2 linked regions of the Schizosaccharomyces pombe genome follow. The gene in region 1 interacts genetically with each later gene. Each region holds a gene or a part of one and is shown in the gene's direction. Other genes may lie near its edges. The genes, in order: hif2 and snt1.

What was found.
Region 2: of hif2 (region 1) and snt1, changing one enhances a phenotype caused by changing the other (phenotypic enhancement), as found in Schizosaccharomyces pombe (one study listed by BioGRID).

Annotation. Positions count from the first base shown.
Region 1 is NC_003421.2:192,127-197,028, forward strand, and holds hif2 (Set3 complex subunit Hif2), read left to right. Parts: upstream 1-2,237; 5' UTR 2,238-2,425; coding exon 2,426-2,477; intron 2,478-2,567; coding exon 2,568-3,334; intron 3,335-3,372; coding exon 3,373-3,792; intron 3,793-3,844; coding exon 3,845-4,300; 3' UTR 4,301-4,402; downstream 4,403-4,902. Other genes in the region: protein pdh1, read right to left, coding at 320-1,000; sec6 (exocyst complex subunit Exo3), read right to left, coding at 4,683-4,902.
Region 2 is NC_003424.3:5,054,413-5,059,620, forward strand, and holds snt1 (Set3 complex SANT/Myb domain subunit Snt1), read left to right. Parts: upstream 1-2,208; 5' UTR 2,209-2,295; coding exon 2,296-4,281; 3' UTR 4,282-4,641; downstream 4,642-5,208. Other genes in the region: glo3 (ARF GTPase-activating protein), read right to left, coding at 24-142, 196-261; SPOM_SPAC22E12.18 (uncharacterized protein), read left to right, coding at 769-805, 845-1,818; DNA-binding transcription factor Hsf1, read left to right, coding at 5,063-5,208.

The DNA of each region.
Region 1 (4,902 bases):
TTGCTTTATTTAATCATTAAAAGATGCCGTAAAGGATTTTGTGCCTTGCGGAATTGTCAAGAATTGTAGTATTACTCGTAAACGGTCGTGATTGTTATTTAACAGTAGTAACTGCCAAAAAAGACTTAGTTTTTTATTTTTAATAAAAGCCTTCAATATTATTTAATAAATAGACGCAAAATCATAAGCAAACTGATTTTAAATTCATTTGCGCATGCAGTCAATAATTATAAAAGCAAAGCAATACACGGGTCTTAGATAGCTAGTCAAAACAATAGCAATGCGTAAAAAAGTATTGATTTTGATTAAAACGGAAAGTTCATATAGGAAGCTGAGTATGACTTTCTAAATGGAAAAGTTCTTGAACCACAGGATGAACAAACAACACATATAGCTCAGAGATGCAAGTGCCTGAGACAGCTAAGCAGAAATAAGTCCATGGAAAACTTTGAAAAACATAAAATAAGTGAATTGAAAGGAACAAATAAATAAGGTATTTTGACAATGGACAGAGAAATTTGTTTGAAGATTCTTCCTTTTTACACGAATACAATTGGTACCAAGCAGTTAAGATCCCTGCTTGAATTGCGGTCGTACTTTGGATAATTGCGACCAACAAGTAATGTGAATCTGTAATTTTGTATGCAATAAAGCAAGGTATCAAGACAGCAATGTTTGGAATCACTGTTAAAAACTGACAGAAAAGCAAGTACTCCTTATGACCCCATGAACGTTCAATTTCAACGCCATACACCGAGAGAATGAGAATACTTGAAAGTAGCGTAAAAACATTAGCATCAACAAAACTTGTGGTAATTATTGTCCATGGAAACAAGAACAAAGCATTTGGAACCAAATGAAAACATAAAAGAAAGAAAGTTACAATAGAACTCCTACCAAACACTTTGATGTAGATGCTGATTCCAAATGATATTGCAGAAAACAATACCTCTAGGATAAGAAGCCTTTTCGTAACCGAAAACTTGGAGAAATGATTCATTGATAAATTTTAGGTAAAAAAAAATAGTAAAGTTCTCGTTACCGTAAAAATCATCGACGTCAACAATTTTGGTCTCAAAGTAAACAATACCAGGATACCTCTAAGTAAATGGTGCAATCCGAAATAAAATTTCTAGCTGTTTGCATCTAAAAAATAGAAACTCTTACGAAAACTGAATTGGCCAAAGATCGCTTCACTGGAATATAAGCATAATAAGAAATTGCCTATATGGATTAATACAGTTAGTAAATTAGAAAATGAGAAGTTGAGATAAGACACTGCACCTGGTTTTTTAATGCCTTCTCAATAATCTCATTTACAGGGACATTCGGTAGCGGGTAAGATGATAGGTAGGTCATGGCTCGACCAGATTATAAACATCCAGAAAATTACATAACTTTGTAGCTTGCCGATTCTAATAGAAGATAGAAAAGAAGTTTAAACTCGCTGATATATTTGTTTGAGCACAACCTGGTTTATCAAGTAACTATGATCGGTTCGGTTGAGGAGATAAACGCATTCAAAGTTAGAGTAAATAGTAAAGGGAGAAATTAATTTTTATTATATTTGGCAGTTTTTTGAGGGAAACCCTGATGAGAAATTGCTGCATATCGCTCTGCTGGGTTAAAACAAAGTGTTGATTCTCTTAATCGAATAATGTCTTAAATTATTAGTCATAATTCAAATCATCTTTTCCTTTCTTAGAATATAGTGAATGCATTGTTTAGAGCGGTCTTATATCAGAAAGAAGCATTCGCTTGACCTTGAAACATTTGTAATAGAAAATCACATTTCCTTAGCATGATAAGCGGACCCTGAATGTTCAAATTATTCAAATAAAATAGCAGTATATTTTAGAAATAAAAAAACCAAATAAGGCTCCTACCACTCTTGTATGGAATGTTGAGTACAGAAATAGCATACGAATTCATGAAAGTCAGAAAATACAATCTGGCTGCCAACTCCTTAACACAAACTTCTAAAAGTGAATTTTGATTGAAATTAAAAGTCGAAGAGAACTATTAGCATTGCCGTTTTAAGTTGTTAAGAGACCGACTTCAAAGAGGGAAAACTTTACTGAAATTCCTCGGATACAAAAAGTGGGCACTCGATTATTTTTATTTTGATCAAGCGCTGTTTAAATAGTAACCTACGTGCAAATAATAGAGCAGGAAGATTTAATCCACAGTTTCAGCCATCGCACGTATCTAGTTAAATTTCGGTAACTAATACTTCCACAACTACTAAAAACCGTCTCAATGGGAATTCGTCGACAATCCTTCAAGTTAAATCCGTATTGACAGGAAAAGAAAGAAAATAGAAGACTGTTGAGGTTTTAAGTGAAACTCGTTGACAGACCTTAAGATTTGACTTTAATTTACGTGGGTAGCTTGAACCATTATAGATTTAGAAATTGTGGAGGAAATGGATACGAATCAAGTTAATTATATAATCTGGAGATATTTGAAAGAATGCGGTATGTTAAATAGTTGGTTTTTGTGAATCATAGTCGCTTCATCTCTCCTTTTTTTCGGTTTCGTTAACATTATCGTGTTTTTTGTTGTAGGTTATTCGCATACTAAATTTGCATTTGAAAGGGAAACAGGCATCCAAAATTTAGACAAACAATGGGGAAGTACTTGCCAGGTTGGCGCTTTAGTCGAAATTCTGCAGAAGGGTTTACAGTACGTGGAGCTCGAAAAGCACTACGTTGATAATCACTCCTCAAACGAAGAAGCTAGCAAAACATCTATAGATGGAGAAAGTCTTGTAAATGAAAATCCTTGTAAACTCCCTTTCTATCTCACCGTACCTCATATATGCGAAACGACACTGACGAAAGCTGACTCTACCAATGGGTTTTGCGAACACAATAATTCTAATGATCACCAACTTAAAATTTTACAAGATAAGGGGTCTGGGTCGCCTTCATCTCCGGTCATGCCATTTAAGGATAAAATTGAGAAAAGGGATATTGACATTACTATGGCCGATGAATCAAACGTAGAGAAGGATCCGGCTCGACCTATAGCCGTGTACAACAGTTCACCTGTCACGGAAATAACAGAAATAAAACAGGTTACTTTTACTGGCGGCGAAGACATAAAGTCGGATTTTTTCAAAGTAATTCCTACCAAACACCCCGTTACCTGTGCAGATTGGCGTCCACTATTACAAGAAAATTACCATGTTTACGAATTTTCTATTGGTATGACAAACGCTACTCTGGCTTCAGTTAGCATTTGTGAAGAGCAAAATGATTTCAAGGCAAAAACAGATTATTGTCTGCAATCTTCTTTCGATAACCAAGATATCACTGGCGTTGCTTGGAATGTAAGGTTCAAATTTTTTTTTGAAATACTAACTTTTAGAATTCTGGTTCTTTTTTAGCCTACGCATTCTTCAGCGGTGTGATTGAAATTTACGATAGTCATGGTTCTCAAATCCTTAGCTTTCATAACAACAAAGGCCCTGTTTTATCTTTGAAATGGAGCGGTACTGATACATATCTAGCTGCTGGTTCGGCGGATGGAACTATTACACTCTTTGATCAACTGAAGCAAACACAATATTCAATTGACACACTTGCATCTTCCGTTTTAGACATTGAATGGATTAGCTTTGATGAATTTGTAACTTCGGATGTGGAAGGCTCCTTGCGAGTATACAAGGTCGATGGCAAAGCTCCGGTTTCTACAGTTTCTCATGCGCATGATAATTCTATTGTTGCTTTACGATACAATCTACGTATCTCTCTTCTATTAACTGCTTCTAGTGATACCACTGTTAAGGTAAATTTCTTTTGTCATTCTAATAATTACTGTTTTCTAACGTTTTGTATAGCTTTGGTCTAGAGGTGATGCTGGTGCTTTTGAATGTTTACATGTTTTTTCTTTTAGCTCACCGGTTAATTGTATTGACTGGAATTTGCGGGAAGGGACACCAATTCTAGCGGTTGCTTCAAACAGTATCGTTTCTATGTATAATGCTATTTCCCTTCAGCAACTTGCTGTATTCATGAGGCATACAGCTCCTGTTAGTGCTTTGAGCTTCAGTCATAACGGTCGCTATCTTGCTACTGGTGATACTTCTGGGGGAGTATGTATATGGTCATGCAAAACAGCCAAACTATTTAAGGAACTGGGTTCCGATAACTCAGAGTTAATTGCTGTTACTAATGTACTTCCAGAGGAGCAAGTTAATTTCTTACGGTGGAGTTTTGATGATAAAGATTTACTTATCGGTAAACAAAAGAAGGAGATTATTTGTTGTTGTGATTTTTTACATGATTCTCTGTAATTGAACCTAGTTGATCTTGTATATATCCATTTATTACAGTAGGTTCGTTGGGTCATCATCTATAGTCAAATATATACATATATATAATCATATACGAATTTTTATTTGAAGTTACTAAACTGGTAGCTAATATTTGTCAAAACATAATATGAACAGGAAACAATATGGACCGCGAAATTGTCAAGGTCCAATATCTATTTATCACAAATACCTTAATTATAGCGACGCTTTCGATTGCCATCTTGAAAGTTAGTAACAGGTATAATAGATAGCGTGAACGCAAATTAGTGGCTTCGTCTAACATAAATCAAAAGGAACATTACTATAGGTAAAGATAAACCGTACGTAGATCATTAAAATTCAGCAACGACTACTTTGGATCTCATAAAATTGAACTTCCAGAAAGAGACGTGACTTGGGAAAATACTGTCGGTTGTTGCGAAGTGTCTATTTGGAGTGAATCATTTTCATGGCGTACAATATCAATCATCTTCTTTATTATTGATTTTTCCAGGTCGGTGCGGTTTTGAAGGACTGCTTCAACCAAGGACAAAGGTGCATCCCAGTATGCTTCTTTCAGCAAATGAAAGTATTCGGAGACA
Region 2 (5,208 bases), on another chromosome or scaffold:
CAAGTATAACAAACACTCCTTACCTTACGAACGATATGTGAACACCCATATTTCTATGAGCAGCACTGCAATCTAGACAAAGATATATACCAAACGTTGTTGAGCTCCATGTTGGATTCTTGGCACCGCAATCAAAGCAAACCTACACAATTAGCACAATTTTTGAAAAAGAAAGTCTTGAATGATTTAGCCAACCTTATTATCCCGTTGAGAGCGTAAAGATGTAAGCAATTTTTGAGATTCTTCCTTAGTAGCAGTCATTTTTGCAATTTCGACTGCAACACTGTGGAAGGTAAATGTGGTGGGTAGTGGTGGGAAGGAAGAACTGCGAAGTTAGCGTTGTAGAGAAACACAAGTGCATGGTTTATCAGTGCGTTGTTAAAGTTAGTTACTCATTTATCATTGTAAAAAATTGCTTCCTGAAGGATTGTTTATTACAGAACCTATCATTTGCCATAGATCGTTTTAACTTTTTCTTATTTTTTTTACTGTTAAGCTCGTACGTTTTATTACTTAGAGAATTTTTAAAAAAAACCTTTGTTTAGCCATTAATAGTTAATAAATTAGTATTTTGAAAAACTACTTGTTTGATTTCTTAAAACTCTTGCTCCTGAGTTGAAAAAAAAAAATATAATCTTACACAGAATTTAGTATGTGTATACAAGAAAGGAGTTAGATTTTCATTGACTAAAATATATAATCTTACAGAGTATCCACTTAAAGCTTAGGTAGAGTGAGCAAGTTGCTTTTTGCCAATATACTTTCTTAATGTCTGACACTATGGTAAAGAATCAAGCAGAGGAAGGTACGATTGATTTTATCATCAATTTTAGCTAATTTGTAGATGAAATAGTGAAATCCTTGAATAATGTTTTAAAGATTGTAGTCACTGCTCGAAAATGTCTGGATGATATGAAGCCCATTGAATTACCTTCCGAATTAGTTGAAAGCCCTCTTTCTATGCTTAAAGATGTTGCCACTTTAATTCATCAATATACTACAAAACTTTCTGTAGCTGCAAAACCGCCCATCACTAGAGATGCACTTGAAAAATATGCTAATGATATGGCTACAACGATTACTCCTTTAATTGCAGCTGTTCAAGTATTCAATGCAGAAAAGTATGGAGAAATTATTCAAAATCGACTCAAAATGTATGCCGAACGCGTCTTATTTGGAATTGAAGCACTGTTACGAAGCGTATCTCCTAAACCGTTAGGGTATATATCAGAAGATTGGAAGACAAGAGGTAGATTAATAGATACTGGAATTTTGTGGGAGTCTTGTGAAAAAATAGAAAAATTGGGGTCGGAAGGAATAGTTGGTTATATGCTTGAAGAATGGGATAATTTTGTCTCAATGCTTGAAGATGCTCGTAGTGACTTAGAAGATTATAAGGAGGGAGACGATTCAAATTGGGATGATTTTGGTAGTGAAAGTGAAGATGACTCAAAAGAAGCACATTCGGAAGAGGTTTTTCGGTCAGAAGAACAGATTCAACTCGCCAATTCGTTACTACAAAAGCTTAATGCTTGCAAAATTTTATTTCTTTCTATAAAGAAGAGAAGAATAAAAAATGAATACCCTAACACTTTTTTGGGTGAACTTTTTAATGCTGCCAAGCAGACTTCTGATTCAATAGATGACATTGTGGCACAAATACAAGAGGACGATGAAAATTTTGAAAATGAACTTGATAATTTTCATCGTTCTGCTAGAAACCTTTGCAAAATTTGTATCTCTTCGGCTCAAGAAGATTCCTTTACTCCTTGGTTCTCTAAATGGCTGGAGAATTGGGAAATAGTATCTCAAAAATAAGGACCATTTCAATATTTTTTTGAGTTATTAGGTTTAGCGGTTAATTTTATTGTTTGTATTTTGGAAATGAAGGGGATTCCTTGGAAAGTGTAGTTAAAACATCTTAGTTTAACCAGAGTTTTTTGTAACTAGTTGGTCTTGTGTATTAAGAAGTATCTATCAATTGAAATGCTGCCTCGAACTTGCTTTTCTGGTCGGCTACTAGTCATAATTGGGCATAAACCTGTACATTCAACGTTTAGAGAAAAATTATACTAAACCATTGTTAAATAAATAATTTTTAAAATGATATATTAAACATGCAAATTATGATATTCACTTCGAAATAAGCTGTAGTGCCTCCTCTGACATTTAAAGATGGCATACCCTAAATGGTTTACCTTTCCACCACACATATCGGCATACTAAGCGGGACCTGAAGTTTGATTATTAAAGATTCTTTTTACAGTTTCTTTTAATCAAGTTCATTTTTGAACGATGGATTTGACTACCCCGGAGGTGGCAGAACATCCAGATGTTTTACGAAACATGTCTCGATACACTTTGGGACTTCTTCCTTCTGAACCGCCCGTTGGTGACATGAACAACGAGGATTCCGATACAAATACTTCTATTACACAATCTCCTACCAATTCTGAAAAGCTCACTGACATCTTGCAAGAAAGCCAAGATACAAAAGCTCTTCAAGAAAAATACCTTCAAAATATCTATGCCTTGACCCAAAATCAGCTTTTCAAAAATGTTGAGGATTATAGCTTTTACAATCTCAATAGAGAAAAGTTTCAACGTGATAAGCAGACGATTGTCGGCGTAATGAGAAAAAGACGCCATGTACTTAATAAGAAAATAAAGCGTTTACAGAGCCATTGGAAACAAGTGTTAGGTCGGTGGGAGGAAAATATTGCTCGGGTTGACAGATTGACTGAAATAGACAAAACTAAGAATGCTAAAAAATCGGAACCGTTTATCAAACGAAGTACACGTAAAGTGATGAGCAACTTTACAGCTGGTGATATAGTTCGTTCCGAAGAAGAGTTTTTGGAGATTTTAGCAAAGCTCGAGCAGCAAGAAAAAGAAGCAAGCAATGTATCTGAGGCCTCTCGAATTGCTACTATTCCTCCTATGATACTTTCAGAAGAAGAAGTGAAAAGTCAATACTTTAATGATCAGAGCCGGTTAGTAACAGATTGTCCTAAATTCTATCACTTTCAAAGTATGCCTGACATATGGAATGAAGAACAGCATTCCATTTTCGTTCAGCAATTTATTTTACATGGAAAAAAATTTGGTAAAATCGCAGAGGCAGTGCCAGGAAAAAACTCTAAAGAATGTGTATTACATTATTATCTGACAAAAAGGACAACTGACTATCGAGCTTTGGTAGCATCTGCAACAAAAACTAAGGGTCGTCGGCGAAAAAAGCTCCTTCCTTCTCAAAGAGGTGGAAAGAAAAAGTCCAAGGGTTCTGCTCTTATGGTTGATATTGAAGCTGCGGATATTAATAAAACGGAAGAGAATATCAATAATCAATTTCAAGAAGCTTCCGTCACTGCTGATAATATGAATACTTGGGATAATACGCCCTCTGTTGAAAATGTTGAATCTGCGAATGAGAATGTTAATAATCACAATGCTGATGAACAAATGGATGAAAAAATAAAGTCTTTGGTTGAAGGGAATAGTGCTTATGAAATTGAAAAAGGAGCTCAAGAGCCTGACCCTATGTCTATTGATATGACCGATAAGAGCGAGACTGTGTCTGGTTTCAAACATGATGTTGACGTTTATGATACAGCTGAAAATGAAGGGAATAACACATTACTGCAAATCAAAGAATCCGTTCATGAGAAAACGCCGACACAGGACGAGCCTATGGATATTAGCCAGGATACCATAAAGCAGGAGGATTACTATGAACCAAAGCTTGAACAACATTCTTCTTCCAAGCGTAACAGTATTTCAACTAGGAAGGAGGAGGATGCAGCTTCGGCTCTAGCGAACCTGTCTGCCGTTGGTCGTTCCATATCCGCCGTTGATGAGTCTGCTCACCAAGGGCACTTGCCTGGTTGGGATGAAAAAGAAGAAGCGTTAATATTTTCGTTGGCCCAAGGTATGAATCCAATGAAAATGCCTCTTACTCCAAGAAGAGCCTCCACTGGTCCTCGGCCACGCCCTACTTTCCAATTGACCGAAATTGATTCTCCAAATCGCCGTCGAGCTAGTGATTGCATTACACCGTCAATATCAAAGATACTGAAAATGGTGTCTGAAGATGCAAAAAGTCAACGCATAGACGAGTTATCAGTCGAGGATCAAGAGCATACAACACATTCATCTCATACGACATCAGACATAAACGCATTTCCGAATAGTCAATCATTTCCACGAGCATCAATTCATACATTAGCAGCATTGGGCGAAGACATTGTTGAACGCCAGTCCAAAAACGATAAAATTGTATGAGTTGTGACGTTTAGTGTTATTTAATGGCGTTATTTACCATTTGTTGTTATATGAAGGGGTTTTGTTTTCTAATTCGCAAATTGGTACCTCCTTACGTGATGCCTTACTCGACTTATCTCGAATTCTACTTTAATCCTTTTTTTTTTTTCTTTTGTATATATTTTCTATTACTTTTAATGTGAGAGTTCTATATGTGTCGGGTTATGATGGTGAGTTTTTATTAAAAAAGTAAAAACTCTATAATAACTTGACTGCCGATCGTTTACGAAATCTATCAAGAGACGAATTTTTTCAATCAATAAATCTTCATGTGAAATCTAGTTATTAGTCTCGGCGACGGAAACGCTTAATTAGTAGCGTTAGTAAGTTAATCTGTAATTGACACATAACAATTTATTCGATTTAATAATTTTTTGCATTTTTTGTTGCATGCAAAACCGACACCAAAAATAAATACCGAGTGGCTAAATGACCTCACTAAACAAATTAGCGATATACCCCGGTGAATGATATATGGTGTATTGTAATCATTCGGTAGTGGATTATTGCAAAATATAACTTGACATCAACCAACGACACCCGCTTCAAATTTCGGTGAGAGCTTGTTAAAGCTACTGAGAAAGTATACATTATTTAAGAATATCTTGATTGAACCTTGTGAAATACGAACTGCATATTCTTCCCTGGTGGTTGAGAAGAAGGTACTGAGAATTCCTTTAAATCAGTAACGGACATATATATTTTTGTTAAATTAACGGCACCCATAATAAATTGATTTTTAATGATTCAGACTGCATCGACAATTTCAAGCAATGGCGGAACGAATCAGGGAATGGAGTCCAGCAGCGCAAATTCACCGGAGATGAATGGGACACAAAATTCGATGTCCGTAGGGATGTCGGGCTCAGGTTCTTCACAAAATAGGAA